5 linked regions of the Nothobranchius furzeri genome follow. The protein of the gene in region 3 purifies or fractionates together with the protein of the main gene of each other region. This does not show direct contact. Links are inferred from orthologs where the notes say so. Each region holds a gene or a part of one and is shown on either strand. Other genes may lie near its edges. The genes, in order: gemin4, dhx9, ago2, tnrc6c1 and tarbp2.

Region 1 (4,119 bases), on a different chromosome or scaffold from region 3:
GGTGGTCCACACTAAACTGGCAGTGGAGCTTTTGTTCAGATCTCAGGCTGGTTTTCACCAGTGGTGTTTCTGTTTTCATTACCATGGCAACTGTGAGACCAGATGGACAAAGACAGAACACAGAGAAACACCATCAAAGAACCAGAACTGGAGCTGTTGGCATTATGGAGTGAAACTAACTGACCTGATGTAGTGAGCATCTGTCCATCAGTGATGGGAACCCAGCTGAGGTAGTCCTGCTTTCCTGGTGGAGGCTGGTCAGACGGGTGTCTGAGGAAGCCGAGCACAGTGAAAAGGCCCTGGTTGTGTTTGAGAGAGACGGAGAACCAGTGGTTGTACTCCCTGGCCTTCTGACTGGGCCAGTGGACATAGATGCCCTGTGTGCTGTATCTACGCAGCTCACACTCCAGCTGTTCTGCCTCCACTCCCTCCACATAGTGCCGCATGTCCACCTTGGACCCTGCAGCAGAACACAGAAGAGTAAGGTGCAACCGTTGTCAGGTGTGTAATGGTGACCTGTGTCAGGTGGCTTACCTGTGACCTGAAAAGTGATGGTGCGTAGATCTACAGGAGCTTCTCCTGTCTGACCAAACTGCAGCACAGCATTTCTGGGGATCCGCTGGGTCTCTCTATGTCCTTCATTGTTCATAATCACCTGTTCATCTGTGAAGTGACAGGGCAGCCATAGTATCTGCTGGCTACAGTAGACCCCTGGAGACAGACCAACAACTCAAAGCAGCTGATCCGAGTGGGCTTCCTCCAAAAACACAAACTGTCCCCACACTCGCAGGGATACAAGCCTTCTGAAGACTTACCTGTCCAGATAAAACCGTAAATAAGAATCCTGCAGGGTGGAACCATGGTTATTCATCAGATCTACTGATCCTTGTTCCTGCTTCATTCAGCTGCACATTTATTCTCAGAACACTTTCGCTTTCATTTACAACGAAAAAAAACCTGCTTTGCATGCAGCTGCATCACGTGACGAGCAGAGACAGTTTCACAAGGAGAAATACTGCAAAACACTTTTAAATGTCACTAAAAGCGAGTAACGTTTAAACCATCACACGTAGGGCTGAACCGGTGTTCCGGTCTGGCGGCAGCACTGGTGAACGCGGTGTCTAGTCAACAACGCAAAACCTCGCAACAGTAAAAACAAACCAGTCAACAATCCAACAGAAAAGGCGAGGAAAACAACAACAACAACAACAATAACAACAAGGTGAAGCAGGTTTGGCGGTTTGCTGGGTTAATGCGGCTGCAGTACCGTATCTATCCAGGGGTGGCGCTGTGGGGACGCCTCGCCACCTGACAGCAGCCCGGCTTCCTGCTGGAAACCGGAAGCGCCTTTCCTGGTAACGAACTGGTTCACGAGGCGGGCGGGTGTATGTTCCTGCCTCCGCAGCCATGGACAAAGGTAATTATTAATGTTAGACATGTCTCGTGAACTTGCGCGAGCTTCGTCTCCAGTCGGTAGAGACGAACATGGCGCTAAACGCTCAGGCTGAAGCAGCAAGCTGCAGGTTTGAAGAGCCCTCTCCTAGCCAGTCGTTCGTTCTGGACCTGCTTCACCTGCAGCCTGCCCCCCCTTCACACACACACACACACACACACACACACACACACACACACACACACACACGCACACACACACACACACACACACACACACACACACACACACACACACCTGGATAACGCTGATCTCGGCCCAGCTCGGGTCTCAGCCTGTTGCTTGCCTGTTTTTCAGATTCCGCCGTGCTCCAGGGAGCTTTCCTCCAGGCAGACAAACTGTGCCTCCCCTCATCCCTGTCCCTGATGCAGAAGGCGGACTGGAGTCGTGTGAAGCTCCCGATCCTGCAGGCCCTCAGAGACACCTGTGGGCTGAGCGCTCTGGCCTGGCAGAAGAAGGTTGTTTGTGTGGTGTGGTTGAAGCTGATGAGCAGTGAGGCTGAGGAAGATGTGGAGAAGGGGTGGAGGGACAACCCTTTCTTCTGCCTCCAGAACGGCCTCCCTGACGTAAGCCGGGCTGTTCTGCTGGAGCTGGTGAAGTCACTCTCAGCTGCGCCGGTCTTTGCCCGCTTGCTCCTGCGTCTGCCTCAGCAGCAGATCTGCACCGAGCTGCAAACGCTGGCAGAGCATCTGAGGACGGATCCCAGTCCTGAAGACGTCTGCTTTCTGTTGGAGGTGTGGTGGGAGCTGTGGAAAGGCAGAGACAAATGTCAGACGCAGGAAGACAAAGACTTAGAGATGATGTTTGTCAGCCAGTTTGCACGCCTGTCCTCCGATTGTCCCAGTGTCTCGCCTCAGGCTGCAAAACGCTTAAAGCTGGACCTTCCTGCATCGTCAGCAAACACAGACGTTCTGCACGTTCTCCTCCATGCTCTTAAGAACATGAAAGATCAAGTATCTACTACAGATTTGTGCCTGCAGTCCCTGTTAGTCTGCCTCGACGCTCTTTACACATCCTTCCTAACAGACCCAGAGGTTGTGCTTCCAGTTGAAGAGAAGTTGCTCATCCTCTGTAGGCTTGTTGACACCAGAGGACAGACGCAGGCGTGGAGCCCCAAACTCCTTCAGGAGGCTCTGAGAGACCTGCGTGCTGCTCACTCACCAGCTCCTTTTCAGCCCAGCAGGATGACGCTGAGCCAAGCTTTGAAGATCGTAGCAGAACTCACAGAATTCTGGCTGGAACAGGATCTCCTGAGCGCTCCTGGCTGCTCCGCGTTCCTGCTGCAGCAGAGCGTCCAGAGAGTCCTGGCAGCTCTAGAAGAAACGGGAACATCTGAGCATGTGACTGAGAAGAGCACACTCAGAGGTCTGCTGAGTTCACTGTCTCTTCCTGCCGTAGAGACCCCCCCTCAGGTGCAGGCTCAGGTCGCTGCCACCGTCATCAGTCACCGCCTGGAGGACTGTGAGGAGTTTGCTGCGCTGTTTGCCAGCCAGTTGTCCTGGACTCATGAAGAGCTGTGGGTGGACTGCCTGGAGAAGAACCACACGGCCTTCACGCAGCCCAACACCCTCATCAGCCTCTCCTCCACCCTCGTGAGTCGCCTGCAGCGTGGGAACGTGAACACCACCTGGTGCAGGAGAGCCATTAAAACGGCTGCAGATGTCTTCTCTGCTCTTTCGTTAGAAAACCAGAACAAGGTCCTCGCTGCAGTACCGAGCCGCTCCAGCAGGGGCTTCTTTGGCTGCTCTGTCCCCTCGGCTGTGGCAGACGGCTTTGAGCAAGAGCTGAACATGGCCTTTAACTGCCTTATCCAGGGAGGGGGCGGGGCCTCAGCAGCAGTGTCCCAGGGCCGCCTGACCACAGCAGCCTCTCTGGTAGCTCGAGTGGCCTTTCAGAGCCCAGAGGCGGCTTTAAGGTCCTGCTGCCACGCCGCCGTTTTCAACAGGGGAGCCTTCAGCCTCATGGCAAAGATCCTGCAGCAGCTGCCTGGACTCCGCGGACGGAGGGGAGGGGAGGATGAGGCAAACGGAAACGATGTGGAGCAGCAGGAAGCTGGAGGGCGTGGTAGTCTGTTCTGTAGGTGTTTACAGACGGCGGTCAGAGGCAAGCCACTGTCCGCCTGTGAAAAGGAGCAGCTCCTCAAGTTCCTGTCTCTGCTCATGGCGCCGGGCCCGACGCTCCAGGGAGAGCAAGAGACACAGAGGTTCTTGTCTCCACAGGAGGTGGTCAACACACTGGTCCTGCCTCGCCTCTCAGCTGCAGGTCGGGGTCCATGCTGGCTTTAATCTCATCTGTGTGTGATCTGTAAACGCTCGTCACATTCTGCTGCTGTCCCATCTGTGTTTCTGCAGCTGAAGAGTCCTGCGATGCAGAACTGAGTCTGCAGCTCCTCCACGCTGCTTTGGCTGTGGGTGTCCAGGAAGTAGCCCCCTCCCCTCACTGGGTGTTGGACTGCTCTCCCTTCCCCCTCCTCTATATTCTGGCCCAGCAGTACAACCAGACTCTCATGTGTGTATGATCCCGTGTGTGTGTGTGTGTGCAGCGGTTGTTGTTGGGCTTCTACTCATCTGATCTCTGTTAGGTGCTGGGAGCGGTCGTCGGAGGACAGCGACCACCTGAGCTCCATGGACACCAAGGAGCTGCTGGAGTCGGTGCTGAGCTTGCTG
Region 2 (2,564 bases), about 8.1 Mb from region 3:
ACAACGCCCGCATCACTGCAGATGCAGCACCAATCTGCCTATCGATCTCACGCTCCAGTTTTCCCTCACTCGTGAACAAGACCCAGAGATACTTAAACTCCTCCACTTGGGGCAGGACCTCATCCCTGACCCAGAGAAGGCATTCTACCCTTTTCCGAATCAAGACCAGATTATATATTTATTTATATAAAAACAAAACATGAAGCCACCAAAAGACTGATGAGGGATCAGGTGAAGATCCAGAAGGTAATTAAAACCTTTGAGGCTCACTCACCTCACGTCGTCCCAGGCCTGGAAGACCGACAGCAGCGCCACGTGATCCGAGAAGCGGTTCCCCGAAAAGTTCCTGTGGACGAATCCGAGGCGTCTCCCATCGCTGATGAACGGCTCCGGAAAACAGGAGGCGGCTGAGATGGTGCACATGGCATCTCCAACACTGAGGGGAGAAACACGTCAGTCACCCCATATCAGAGGCAACAAGTCAGGAGAACCAGAGAGGAACCCACTAAAAGATGCAGCCCATGATCATCATCTTCCCCAGCCGAGGTTCGATGGGCAGCCGAGCCAGAATCCGACCCAAAGGAGTCAGCTCATCGTTGGAGTCCAGAGCGTCCAGCTCTGCAACACAAAGGTTAAATCAGCTCAAACCACCGAAGCATCCCACAGATTACCACCAGGTGTTCCAGTAATGCCTCCGTTAGAAAGCCCCTCCCACCTCTGGTCCGGGTACCCCTAGTGTAGCACACGGTGGACGGTTTCATACGCACGAGTCGCACTAATAAGCACCAACATGGAGCCCAGCTCGGGTCCCAATATGAGAGGAACCCGATGTGCAGCTCCCGTCCAACGAGGGCAGCTTTAACTGGTTCGATCAGGGGACTTTCTGGTCTCCAGTCACTCTGCTGGTCACCTGCTGCCTGATGAGGGGATTGCTCCTGGAAGGAACAGGTGAGCTGCTGCAACAAGCTTCCGTTTCAACAGAAACACACGACATGTGATGTCACATGCTCAAGATCCCGCCCCCAGCTTCTGGTAAAGTACAGTCAAGTGTTTTTTTCTACACGATTCCCTTTCCTTCACAAGGAAACTCAGATTTCACAGATATGACAACATGAGTTCAAGGGAGTCTTTCCAACATCAGAACATCCTTTTCTTTAACACCAAATATCACAAGCTGTTTCAACTAAACAATCAACGCCATGGCGGCGTCAGGGAGCCTTAGGTCGTTTTTAGGTGGTCAGACCGTGGCAGTACTGTGGCGGCATAACGGTGGTATAGGGCAGTCTCTGCGCTGCCACGGACTTCCGTTAGTTTTTACTGCAATTGAAGCCACGATGGTTACGTATTTTTTAACAAGCCGCTCCTAACTGTGTCCGTCCTCCACAGCCCCGGTGTGGTCTCTGGTGATCTGAGCTCCAGCTCTAACGGAGAGAAGCTCTTGGATGGCTGCAGCCTTCACTCTGCTGTCTCAGCTGTTTTTGTTCAAAACGCAAAACTTGCAGTCGGAGTTTACTTTCATTTTCTATCGAGTTGCTGGCCGGAGCTCGGCATTAACTCCCTACGTCATCATGACGCCTCCCTCTGTCGCGCCGTCTATTAGGCAGACAATTACCGCATTATTACCAAGCGGGCCGAACGAATGATGCTAAATTTGTGCAACGCCATGCCGGTAAGGTGTGTTTGTAAGACACAGAGACACTGAGAGGCGCCGAGCAGGGCTGGGCATACTAGTTGCCCCCCATCTTGGTGCCTGTGCGTTGGGGTTTACCCCAGTGAATGAGAGGGTAGCCTCCCTCCGCTTACGTGTGGGGGGATGGGTGTGCTTTTGCACCAAACTACAGTTCAGACTACACACTCTTTTTGGAGACCCTGGAGGGGGTGCCGGAGAGCGCTCCTTCTGGTGACTCCCTCGTTCTGCTGGGGGACTTTAACGCTCATGTGGGCAACGACAGTGAGACCTGGAGAGGTGTGGTTGGGAGGAACGGCCATGATCTGAATTCGAGTGGTGTTTTGTTATTGGACTTCTGTGCCAGTCATGGATTGTACATAATGAACACCATGTTCACACATAAAGGTGTCCATATGTGCTCTTGACACCAGGATACCTCAGGCCGAAGCCCGATGATCGACTTTGTTGTTGTTTCATCTGACCTGCAGCCGCCTGTCTTGGACACTCGGGTGAAGAGAGGGGCGGAGCTGTCAACTGACCACTACCTGGTGGTGAGTTGGCTTCGATGGTGGGGGAGGATGCCCATCAGACCAGTCACTGGACCGACCGTGGAACACTGGACCAGCTCTATACCCTTAGGGGGATCCTGGAGGGTGCGTGGGAATTTGCCCAACCAGTCTACATGTGTTTTGTGGATTTGGAGAAGGCGTTTGACTGCGTCCCTCGGAGGGGCCCTGTGGGGGCTACGCCGGGAGTATGGGGTACCAGGCCCTCTGTTATGGGCTGTTAGGTCCCTGTATGACCGGTGTCAGAGCTTGGTCCGCATTGCCGGCAGTAAGTCGGGCTCGTTACCAGTGAAAGTTAGACTCCGCCAAGGCTGCCCTTTGTCACCGGT
Region 3 (4,219 bases):
AACTAGACATTTCTTTAATTTACTGGGAGTTTCAGTGGCCAGCACATTCAGTTATCCACACTGAGGTATTCCTATAAGCACAGCCAGGAAAATAAACAGGTTGTTATTATTATTATTAATGGGAGCTGATTATTCTAGAGGTCCTGTGATATCGGAGTGTGTCAGAACAGACACAGACTCCTTCACTGCCTTATCTCCACTCTCCAGTTCTGGTCATTCATACAAACACCCTTCGATGACCCTGATGCACCGAGCAGACGACCAGCTGACTGAAACACCAGTGACGTGCTTTCTCCCCCCAGGACTCTTACACCACAAAGAGAAGCATCTCAGAATTGTCTCTGGTGTCAATTTAATAGAAACATGTGGAGTTTTTATAAGATGTGCAGGGTATCTGCAGGTTTAAGGGAGCCAAATTTAGAAATTCACGAAAATTTTTATAGAAATAAAATAATCTTGTTTATTGGGTCTTTGGTAATTTAAGACCATTGGAAACTGGATTTAAGGATTATTTGTCATTTTTAAGGATTTTCAAGGCCTTAAATTTGGAAAAGTAAATTTAAGACTTTTTAAGGACCCGCGGATACCCTGGATGTGAGTAAACGGCTCACATGACATCAGCACTTTGCGTTTTGGCTGAACAAAGCTTAAATGACTACATCAGTATAAGACATACAAAGTCCTTCACAGAAAAAAAAATCAGCATTTCACAGGTATAAGCTCCAAAGCCCTGCTGAAATACTCTGTAGATAATTTAATAATCTAATCAGAAGTTAAACTGTGTAGAGTGCATCTCATTATGACAGAAAGGTGTAATATATATATATATATATTTATATATATATTTTTTTTTAATATATCATGTTTCTCCTGGGACCAGAGCTTAGAAGTAAGAAAGCTTACCAGAGCTTATGGACCCAGAAGAATGTGGCCTCTCCATAACCTCAGCACCTAGAGGGGATAAAATTATACGTTAGAAATGTTTAAGATCCAACTTGGACTCAAGTACTCTGTACTTAAACAAAAAAAAGCACCCAACACAAAACAGAAATCTAGTTTTACAGCATTAAATGCAAATAGAGTCAGAAATCTTTATAAAAAACCTGGAAAAAAGAAAAAAAATCTCCCATTTTAAATATTTTTTAATTCAGAACATCGTTAACTATTTCAGACGGTCTTTTATCACATCCCGGCCAGCACCATCGTCTGCAATGAAGTATGTCTAATCTACAAACACACAGACGGGATGAAACGAGCTGGTAATCTAGCATAAATGTAGCCACCCGTTCATAAGGAAACAGCCCAGAACTGATACAGTTCAGCTCATTGTTTAGTTTTATTTCAATAAGGCTCATGGAGAAGAACAAATGCCTGAAGGTATAGATGCAAATGAAATATGGCAGAGGTGATTATTTTCAGCCTCTGCATAAAAAAGTTAAACTGCTTATAAACTTTTCTCGTTAAATTTCTGCATTTTCCTTCCTACCTCAGCATTTAAGCAGATAACTAATCGCCATTATTCAACTGTTGATTATATATTTTTTAACCAATCCCAAGACTCCCCTGAAAATGAAGTTTTTAATCTCAATGGGACCTTCCTGGTTAAATAAAGAATAAATAAACTTAATTACCACCTGCCCTGCCAAAAAGAAACATTCTTAATGTCTTAATAAAATGTAGATGAAACATGTCTATATATATATATATATATATATATATATATATATATATATATATATATATATGTGTGTGTGTGTGTGTGTGTGTGTGTGTGTGTGTGTGTGTGTGTGTGTGTGTGTGTGTGTGTGTGTGTGTGTGTGTGTGTGAGAGTGAGAATGAGTTATATGACAGATGTTAATTTGAACCCAATCAAGCTAACTTGTTGTTGCCCATGAGCCAAACGTCATTAGTTATCCCCACTTTACTCTAACGAGCTTGTGGTTCAAAGCAGAAATCATCCCTTTTCCCAGAAATTATATTTATGATTTGCTGTATTTGTGTCGGATGTTAAAAATGTGGTCTTACGTGACAAACACATGCTTGCATTCTGGTTTTGTTTACATACATCGTCCCATCTTTGCTTAGGATGCGAGCAAAATTGCTCCAACTCTCGATTTTTTACAAATTTTGTGGGAAATGATGTAGAATGTAAATGAACTTAAACCTATTCATTTGACACATTTATGGTAACCATTTGTATGATTTGTGATTGAGATTAGGAAGCATGAGCTGCCGCTAAATGCTACTGTTAGCATGTGGCAGCTTTTAAAGAAAAAAGCAAATAAAACCCACCATGTGTGTTGAATATTATACAGTTTGTCGAGTGACTGCATTCCACCTCGTTTAAGGGCAGAGGAAGTTTACCAAGTTGGGGAAACGAGGTGCCGCTAAAGCTAACTTGGCTAATGCAGCTAAACTCGCTTTTGGTACTAACGCCTCCACTAAGTCGAGGATGCATCATTCGTTGAAGAACTTATTTTATAATAATAAGTTAATTAAAACAAAACCGGAGAATGTATCGGCAGTAGATTGATGCCGTTCTGGAAAGAAATCCATCATCCACTTAGTCGATGCTAATGGTTAGTAGCACTTACCTCCAGCTGAATACATTTTGTCGACTTTTTGAGCGTATGGTGGACGACCGGTACTCCACTTTTAGAAGACCAACCTCCGCCTAACCTCACACAGAACCTACAGACTTGGGTATTTCCAACAAACTAAGGTGAAGATAAAGAAGTTTAGTTAGCCAAGTGGTAAATATTGGAGTCTCTCATCCTCTGCACGACCCCATCCCCCCAACACAAAACGAGAGCAGAGACGAACGGAGGCATTGAAATCCCTGCGGGGCAAGAGAACTCGCTGTCGTCCACTTCCGCTGTTGGGCTTTCGTTCTCAAAACCGATCAAAGCTTCTGTTTTGTGTCATATTATCTGACATAGAATCATGATTTAATCAGTTTATTGGATTCACATGTCAGAAATGTAATTTGAATGAGCTAACTTTGAAACTGCACAAACATAAATGAAAATGTTAATGAATTACTCCTCACTATCAGACTGAAAAAAAGAGCTGCACGTTCAGGAATTCTAGTGTTTTTCTACTTGAATAAATAAGTTTTTCTGATACATCGTCTCTACCAATTTGTCGCTAACTCATTCAAACATCGCTCGTTATCTTTAACAGTGTTATTTGGCTCGATCATGGTGGAAAAGTTAATGCTCATGAATGGGGAGGTTTATCTTGCCAGCGGGAAGGTTCAGTGACATCAGACGCACGTTGCGCGCTCTTAGCGTCCATCCGAATCAAAAGCGAAAATTCGGAAAAACTATTCTTTCATTTTTCATCAGAGCTAAACTTTGATGCGACATCATTAAACTGATATCCGATGCGTATCATTTAAAAGTCACTAAAAAGAAAAAGTCACAGGAACAACTTAAAGACCGAAGAAGTATTTCCGGGGTAATAAAGCGGCTGAAATACACATTTTAGTTTGCTATGCATTAAAACATTTAATGTGATATGGGAAGCTTCAGCAATCTGAAATCAACTTGTTTGTGGTTTGCTTTTTATATTTTGATGGTGAAAATATTTAATTAAAACTTGCTTGGTGTAAAGTGCGCATGTCAGAAGTTGATTATGAATAAAACACTAAAATGATATGAGGAGAACTGATTACACAGACAGTATAGAGGTTCAGGGACTATTTATATGTGTTTGTTCTTTTTTCATGACGAGTTACACACACACACATGTTTATTAATTTTCAAAATGTCTAGTGACTATATCAAGCAGTCATTAGATGAGAGGTGGAGGACACCCTAGACGTGTCTCCATTCCGTCTCAGGGACACAGAGGGACAAATCACGTTGTTTTTGATGGGAAACAGGCTGTTTGGCTCCGTGTTATGATGTAGGTTCGGATGCACTCAAACTACGGTTTTTGGTAACAAAGGCAGACAAATTTACATTATGATGAACCAAAAAGGGTTTTTACATTTTGCAGCGGTTATCAGTCATGAAGTGTGATGTACATGATGCACATGCAGGTAATGTGGTCCTTTTACTGTGTCTAAATTAACAGAAATTCGTTGAAGCAGAAAATGTTAAGACACTGAGCAGATTTCTATGATTCATAGCCTATAAGGACCTGATGGACCACTGCATCCACTTCACCTTTTCTTTTTTGGACAGACTAGTTCAGCCACTTTGTAACACCGTTT
Region 4 (3,515 bases), on a different chromosome or scaffold from region 3:
GAGTCAGCGGAGGTGAGCGTCGTGCGTGCATGATCCCGAGGAGAAGCGCTGACAGAAGGGTTCAGGAGTCTGTCGGGACTTCCTGTTTTAAGTTTTGGAATTAAAAAGAGAGAATGTGAACGGGAACGGGAGGTGCTGCTGGAGCGACGCGTCTCACCGGTCTCCGTCTCCGTGAAGGGAGGGAGGGAGGGAGGGAGGAGGATTCTCCGTGAAGGAATTAATACCGGAACATTTTCTATAAATACTAATTCAGGGAGATGGCGGGAACAAGGAGTAAAATAGTTTACAGTTTTTAAAACAGTTTCCAGCCCAAAACGGAAGAATTAACAGGTATGAAAGTTTTCACGGGTCTCTTTGGGGCCGAGGAGCGTTCACACTGGAGAGAATCTGATGTTGTATTTCAGTCATGATGTGAACAGCCACACAAAAAAATCTGGTTTACTCAAAAAAAAAATCGGAATTGAGCATCAAGGCCTGCAGTGTGAACGTAGCCTTAGATGCCCCGTCTTAGATCGTCGTCTTCATTTATGATGTGGAAATCTGCAGCAAATCATCTTCAAGTGTCCAGTCGTTCATCACAGCTTCATCAGTTCCATCTGCTACTGGATTGAGTGGGATAATAACTCTGACGTAAACCAGTAGATAAGAGTTGAACGCCTCATGTTCATCATTAAACAGCGCGGAGCTGATTTTCAGCAGATTAGAGACATGAAGGGTGTGACGTACCTGTGGTGTAGGAGCTGCTCCAGCCTTGGCTCAGACCCAGAGAGTTCCCGCCCCAGGTGGAGGAGGGCTTCGTGTTCGTGAGGCCGGGCGGAGGGCGGGAGGGGGCGGTGGTGCTGCTCCGCGGGCCATGAGGGACCTTCCAAAGCTCGTGGGACAGAGACGGCTGGCTGTGAGAGATGGGGCCTGGGGACCAGGTTGATTTCATCTCCGACAGTTTACCTGGATGGAAACATGGAGGACGGTTGGTCTGCAGAACCCAGAGCTGCAGGTTCTCTGGTTAGGGACACATCTAATGAAAAAGTAACACTTTTCCACAAATCTACAACCACCACATATCTCCCATTCTTTTATGAAGAGAAGCAGACAGAACGAATGAAAGCTGTTCATAGTCAGCTGTAAACTAACCTAGCATCTCCTCTGCTTCACACTGTCCAGGCACTAGAAGGGACTGCTTTGCTAACACCGCTGACCTTTCAAATGAAAATCATGCTCAGGAGTAGCGGCTTGGGGGGGGCAGGGTTAGAGCTCTGGACCACACGGTCACTGCAGGGTGAGGGGAGAGGGTTGTGGGTAAACCATGTACCTGCTTCGTCCATCTCCGGGGACGAGAGACTGAACGAGCTAGTGTAGGCACTGACCGGCCAATCAGCGGAAGGAGGCAGAGCCTCGTTCTGAGATGAAGTGGGGGAGGAGCCTGAGGCGACGCCAGCGACACCAACAGACAAACACAAATAAGGAAAAAGTAGCAAGAGAGGAAATGGAGCAAAGAAAAAAAAAGGCACTACAAATGATAAGATCACTGAGGTTCAAGTGGGTGAAAATGGAAATAGAAGCAGTTAAAGCAGGAAAATAAAGAAGAAAAGAAGCAGCAGCAGGATCCCGGATAGGTTTAAAACCTCTGATACTTTTTTAAAATAGGAAATTCAGTTTATTGATTTTTCAGGTATCTTTTAAACTCTTCAGCCGGATCTTCAAAGAGACATATTATTCAACATAAACGTATGAAACACAAGCAGCCACTGGCGGTTGGTCTGACCTCCACTCCTGTCCCGCAGCAGGTAGCGGTTGACATCCTGGATGTTGGTGTTGATGGTGGGTCCACTGGGGACGCTGCCTGGGGTCACGTTAGGGTCAGTCTCAGGGTCGATGTTCTGTAGCCCCTTCCAGGGAACGCCGGGACAAAACTCTGAAACAAGTTTTTGTTTACTTTCACTCACGACGATTTCAAACTCCGAAGGGAATAAAGTAAAAGTACGCATTCTGAAGTACCCACAAACATGATGTGACAGTAGACGTTTTCTAACCTGGTGGCCAGTTGATGTTGGTCCCATTTGCCATCTTGTCGCTGCTGTTCTTGCCCTGCCCCCAGCTTTCGGGGGGGACCAGCGGGCTTGTAGGAGACTCGGAGCTGGACATCAGGTTGTAGTGGTGGTACGAGTCGTCCATCTGGGGGGGCTTCCCAGGAGGCCCCAGGGGGGCACCTACCCAGACAAAACAAATGGCTTTACTTAAAGGTGAAACATGTAAAAATGAAGTGAGAATGACATCATGTGGTCAAATGAGGTAACTGCAGTCCATTTTCCTAAGCCATCATGGCTGACGTCAGTAACGAATCAGCACCGAAGATTCTAGATGACAAGCAACGACGAGTCAGTTGTAAGTAAGTTGATAAATGCATTACCATATTGGGTGCTAGTACCTTTGGGTGTTTTACGCTAGGGAGCACTTACTACAATTATTACGGTAATATTTCTCCAGCGCCGTCTTGCTGTTTGAGCTCTGAATGACTCATTAAAAGAAGTAAAACACCACAACCGAGTCATTATTCACTTCACACACACGTTTCAATGTAACAGAGTTTTTGGTAATCGAAAAAGTTGCTTGAGATATTTTTATAGCCGACTATTTGCTTCTAATTCATTGTTAGCTCAACGTTAGCTTCTAGCCTGAATCACCAGATATTAGCGTAAAACAAAAAGATGTCGTGGTTTCTTAGAAGTACAAGAAATAACTTCTCGGTTACTCCTGTTACCTGGCTTAGGATCTCTGGAGCTTTTTGCCGACCAGTGTCAAATTACAAATGCCAGCGCTGCAGTGTTGGCTCACCTGAGACATGGCAACCTCACAAACGCTTTGTAAACAGTAACCGCGTCCCTCTTTAGTTTTTGAAAGAGAGAAAAACTGACAACCCCCCAGCTGGCTAAGAGTCGCTGACTGAGACATTAAACTGTTTTGCGATTATTTCACTGTAAAATTTGTACGTAATGCTCCTTTAATTATAATAATTATACATTTAATAATGATTTGTAGGATACAAACATGATTTCCTGATCTACGTTTTGAAAGATTTCTGTTGATTCTTGATCTTCCAGGACTTTATGGAAACTGACGACTCACAGAATGAAACCGCTTTTACTGAAACATCAGGCTGCTTGATGAGCTGGATCTTGTGGTTTTCCTCACCGTGCTTTCCCAGATTGGGCTCAAGAGCAGAGGCGTGTCCAGACAGACTTTCGATGGAGTTCGGGTGTGTCCACTGAGACAGCCGCGACTGGGGCTGCGGGGGTTCTTTCAGAGGAAGACTTCCCACATCGATACAGTTTGGATTCAGGTTTGGATTCAGTCCAGCTGAGGAGAAAGAGAAAGACCGATGTTACAAATGATGCTCAGCAATCGGATCCCTCTCACCGTCACAGATCAACACTTCCTGCCACTCACAGAGAGCATAGGGGCTGTAGGTGTTGGGGGATGACTGCGGCTCTTTGGTCTGCAGGTCGGGGAGGCCTGGA
Region 5 (4,005 bases), on a different chromosome or scaffold from region 3:
AGTGGGTTTGAGTTTTAGGCTGTGAGATTTTCACCAGCTGGACAACAAATGAACTAGAGATAAACTTGTGTTTAGCTTCAAGGCAGGATAAAAATGTCTCTTAACCAATCTGAGGTCAAAAAGCCTCTACTGTACAACAAGGAGGTGTACATTGGCATCGCGTGGTGGCGAGTTCGGGTCTGCGGACAAAAAACGCGCCCAGGTGTCTCATTTTCCTCCTGCCATGATTTTAAGGTACTGCAGTGCATTGTGAGCCGCGTGGGCTCGAGCAGCTTCTACGTTCGGAGCAAAGCCATGACACACAGTGATGGGTTGTGTGGACAGCTCCACCAGACACTGACAGCGGCCGCTGAGGCTGCGCTCCTCTGAAAAACAAACAAGCATGGATGTGAAGAAAAAAAACGAGGAGTTTCTAACCGCTTTACGGTGCTCCTGTTGTGCTGTTGAGCGTGAGCTCACCGAGGTCGAGGTAACTGACATCAAAGCGCTGCTCCACGGACAGGTCGCTCAGCAACGAGCAGAAGTTGGAGCCAGCTGGCATTCCCAGAGGGTGGCTGCGGAGCTGCAGGATCTTCTCTCCAGCAGAGTTACGCAGAGAATCCCAGGTGCAGCTGAAACTTTTGCTTTTACCCGACTCCGCTCTGCTGCCCATGTGCTGCGTAAATGGGATGATTTTATACACGTTTTACACAGACACAGTAGAGCCAAGCAGAGAAGCTTCATCACCATAACATGGGCACAGTTTGTGATATTTTGAGAATTGCACAAGAAATTTAAGCGCAAGCATATAAATCACTGCTGTGGTGTTTAGCTCTCACCAAATTGAAGGTATCTTCTTCTGCATCTGCCTCGTTGCTGCTCCTCAGGTCCACTGGAACGTCGTGGATCCGTGAGAGCATCTTAGCGGCTGCATTCCTCTTGGCTAACTTCTTAGATGTGCCACTTCCTGGACAGGAAAAAGGAAATCACTCCTTCACTTGGCATAAAAGCAGATTTTGACAAATCCAATTGAGCGTGAAAGCACAACATGCAGATATCAAACAAGAATGAGAGAAGATTTACCAATTTCTACAAATCTCTCCACTCTGCAGGTCATGGTAAACTCTTTTCGATGTGCTGGACCCGACTCCTGAGTGACCGTGTACTCTGGCAAACGCCATCCTTTCTGCACCACCAACTCCTGAAGTAAATCAAAACAGAAAAAAAAAGGAAGGAAACTATAGAAATATTCTAACAGAAACCAGTGTTGTGGATTACCAGGATAAAATAAAGTCTCTATGGCGTAGTTACCTGCAGCGCCCCAACGGGGTTACATTCCGACTGTTGAGAACTGCTGGAAGTCTTCATCTCTGACTGAGAGCTGCATAAAACATGAGAGGACAGACTAAATCCACACAAATCTCTCTCTTCCATCAACTCAATGTTGAAACATCGTCTGGATCCAATCAAGACAAGCCATTAAGCATCACTTAAGCATCGCTAGGTTCTTTTCTACATTTTAAAATGAAGTAGGGTCCTGACCAGTCTCCGTCAATAGACACATCAACCTCGATAAACACGTCTTCTCCGACAGCGACTCCAGCTGGATCTCCGAGGCTTCCTTTGAGCATCTTCAGAGCAGCCTCAGCTGCTTTGTGCTTAGCTGCCTTCTTGCTGGGCCCTTGGCCGGTGCAGCTGATCTCTCCGACGGAGACGCGGAATGTGAAGTTGGGCTGGTGGGCCTGTCCCTCCGCCTTCAGCAGGTCGTACACTGGGGTTTTGCCTATCCGCGTTCCATACTCCTGCAGCAGACTGATGGGCGTCTTTCCAGGATTCACAGCCAGCATTTGCTCAATACTATTTAAAAGATAGAAAGCATAAGCAGCTGTTCACTTATTTTGTTATCATCTTTACTGAGATCAAAACACAACAATGTGGCTAGTTTATTGCTGCTAAAATCTAAAGGGCATACGCTACAATGTTCAGTGGAAAAACTACACTTGTCTATATTTTAGTTTCACGAAATGCAACAAGAAATAGGAAAAGTGTGCCATCTTTAAGGCTCAATCTGTGAAATATGTTTCCAAGAAAAAAAATACTATTATTTGCCAAATGAATACTGACCCAAATAATAAGTGTGGTGTTTTGAGGTGAGATTCTTCACAGTGTACAAAGGAAATGGGCACAAACCAATAAAACTCTATTATTTACATTATCAGAGTAAAAGAAGGCACTTTTATTCAATGATTTATTTGTGAGGCGGCAGCTACAGCCATCTGGAATGAAGATTTGAACCAGAAATGTTTGCAATCAGCTTATTTTATTACATATATTACAAATGGAATAAAGAGATTTGTGTAATTTATGCCGATCTTTACATTTAGGAAAACATTATATTAGTGTTTTTGACCACCTGTTGCCTTCCAGATTACAATAATCCCTCAAAAATCAACCTAGCAGTAAAAAGCCACCAGATAAAGAGTATTAACGATGAGTCAAACAGTTAAGCTGTAGAGATTAAAAGAATAACAGAAGATTAAACACTTAAAACAACATGCACGCGTTAGTTTCTGAGGCCTTTGACTCTGACATTTTATATTGTTTACATACAAATGGCTTTTATCAAGAAGACAATCCCACCTGGAGTCCCCGGAGTTTCTCTTCCAGCTATCCGAAGCTGTCTCGTCGTTCATTCCCCGTTTCGCGCAGACAGAACCGCTCGGTTTCGGATGTAAAATCCCCCCCGCCACAACAGACACGTACTCTCATTAGACGGTATTTATTGTTGTCCCAAAACGATGAGCTAAAGCTGCAACATGATGGATACCAGAAGACGAAACCACCTCTACAGCGACAACCTCGGTCACACGATTATGACGTAGATTGCGTCCTGGGCAGCGTAAGCCCCGATTGGCCCAAATGCCTTCTGTGCCTCAGAAGGTGGGAATGACACTCATCAAGCATTCATCCCTAAATATACTGATGGGTCGAAAGTGTCAGGAAATATAACGGGATTTTCTTTCTGGATTCCGACATTAAGTATATATTATAAAAGTCGAACATCTAATAATCTGTCAGTTTATACAGTGGAAATGTTAGCCATTTCATTTAGTTTACAGTGGATAGAACAAAATGGTGTTAGGAAAAGTATTATTTGCTCAGACTCCATGTCAGCATTGTTATCAATTAAAGAAATGTCAGCTGATAAGAGGTCAGATATTTTGTATGAAATATTTGAGTGCATGTTTAGGTTAGGTTATACAAAAGGTATAATGATTTCTTATTAATAAAACCTTGTTGCAGCACTAAAGCAGAAAAATGAGATTTTGCAAGAAATATGCTAAATATTTACATATGAATTGTTTTAGAGCCGTTTTATTGGCAGAATCTGATATTAATTTAGTTCTTACAAAAAAATGGGTCCCAACGTGGTTTGTGTGGCGTTGCCATAGTGTGACGTCATAGGCACAGATCCCCTGTCCTCTTGTTTGGAAATGGAAATATGATCACCCTACATTAAACAAACTGTCCACCCGGGCTTTTGCGCTGCACAGAGATGCTTCGCTGCCTATGACTTTGAACGCCAGTTGAGAGTCAGTCTCATTCAGACTGACCAATGAAGAGAGGGCCTCAAGTTTAGACCCTCTCCTCATTGGTCATTCCACACGAGGTGGGTCAAAGGTTACCCTGAGCGGGTTACATGATGTCAGGCATTCAAGTATTGAGTATATTTACTGCATATTACAGTAAAATATTCTGTATGTGACCATATTATGGTGATCCTTGGGTCGTGATGATGGGGACCTTTAATATTGTTGCCCAGGGTACAACTAAGTGTTAATCTGACCCTGGGAGCGGAGGTAGTGACTAACACAGCACGTCAGCTCTGTCTTATCAAATGCACCAAGTAAGTTACGAAAAAAGTAACTTTAAATATTCAACCGAAAAAGAGGCGAGCTGAAGAAAACCTAGGGATTACTGAAGAAACGTGAGCAACATTGAAGCAATCACAGCGAGATCCGTTAC

What was found.
Region 1: the proteins of ago2 (region 3) and gemin4 purify together in Homo sapiens (affinity purification with western blotting; 4 studies listed by BioGRID and IntAct, with this or other methods). This does not show direct contact. The link is inferred for Nothobranchius furzeri from reciprocal best matches to the Homo sapiens genes AGO2 and GEMIN4.
Region 2: the proteins of ago2 (region 3) and dhx9 purify together in Homo sapiens (affinity purification with western blotting; 5 studies listed by BioGRID and IntAct, with this or other methods). This does not show direct contact. The link is inferred for Nothobranchius furzeri from reciprocal best matches to the Homo sapiens genes AGO2 and DHX9.
Region 4: the proteins of ago2 (region 3) and tnrc6c1 purify together in Homo sapiens (co-immunoprecipitation; 6 studies listed by BioGRID and IntAct, with this or other methods). This does not show direct contact. The link is inferred for Nothobranchius furzeri from reciprocal best matches to the Homo sapiens genes AGO2 and TNRC6C.
Region 5: the proteins of ago2 (region 3) and tarbp2 purify together in Homo sapiens (co-immunoprecipitation; 10 studies listed by BioGRID and IntAct, with this or other methods). This does not show direct contact. The link is inferred for Nothobranchius furzeri from reciprocal best matches to the Homo sapiens genes AGO2 and TARBP2.

What each region holds. Positions count from the first base shown.
Region 1 is NC_091753.1:62,516,048-62,520,166, forward strand, and holds the start of gemin4 (gem-associated protein 4), read left to right. Parts: upstream 1-1,311; 5' UTR 1,312-1,407; coding exon 1,408-1,417; intron 1,418-1,750; coding exon 1,751-3,715; intron 3,716-3,804; coding exon 3,805-3,961; intron 3,962-4,034; coding exon 4,035-4,119. Other genes in the region: dhrs13b.2 (tapasin-related protein), read right to left, coding at 1-90, 185-460, 535-711, 816-861. UniProt on the Homo sapiens protein: The SMN complex catalyzes the assembly of small nuclear ribonucleoproteins (snRNPs), the building blocks of the spliceosome, and thereby plays an important role in the splicing of cellular pre-mRNAs.
Region 2 is NC_091751.1:34,756,116-34,758,679, forward strand, and holds part of dhx9 (ATP-dependent RNA helicase A), read right to left. Parts: intron 619-2,564; coding exon 507-618; intron 437-506; coding exon 275-436; intron 1-274. UniProt on the Homo sapiens protein: Multifunctional ATP-dependent nucleic acid helicase that unwinds DNA and RNA in a 3' to 5' direction and that plays important roles in many processes, such as DNA replication, transcriptional activation, post-transcriptional RNA regulation, mRNA translation and RNA-mediated gene silencing.
Region 3 is NC_091751.1:26,608,895-26,613,113, forward strand, and holds the start of ago2 (protein argonaute-2), read right to left. Parts: upstream 2,801-4,219; 5' UTR 2,611-2,800; coding exon 2,595-2,610; intron 952-2,594; coding exon 904-951; intron 1-903.
Region 4 is NC_091752.1:53,964,066-53,967,580, forward strand, and holds part of tnrc6c1 (trinucleotide repeat-containing gene 6C protein), read right to left. Parts: coding exon 3,445-3,515; intron 3,355-3,444; coding exon 3,190-3,354; intron 2,208-3,189; coding exon 2,031-2,207; intron 1,913-2,030; coding exon 1,763-1,912; intron 946-1,762; coding exon 727-945; intron 1-726. UniProt on the Homo sapiens protein: Plays a role in RNA-mediated gene silencing by micro-RNAs (miRNAs). Required for miRNA-dependent translational repression of complementary mRNAs by argonaute family proteins.
Region 5 is NC_091743.1:62,020,035-62,024,039, reverse strand, and holds the start of tarbp2 (RISC-loading complex subunit tarbp2), read right to left. Parts: upstream 2,816-4,005; 5' UTR 2,673-2,815; coding exon 2,620-2,672; intron 1,837-2,619; coding exon 1,522-1,836; intron 1,361-1,521; coding exon 1,291-1,360; intron 1,181-1,290; coding exon 1,063-1,180; intron 947-1,062; coding exon 819-946; intron 656-818; coding exon 460-655; intron 366-459; coding exon 208-365; 3' UTR 1-207. UniProt on the Homo sapiens protein: Required for formation of the RNA induced silencing complex (RISC). Component of the RISC loading complex (RLC), also known as the micro-RNA (miRNA) loading complex (miRLC), which is composed of DICER1, AGO2 and TARBP2.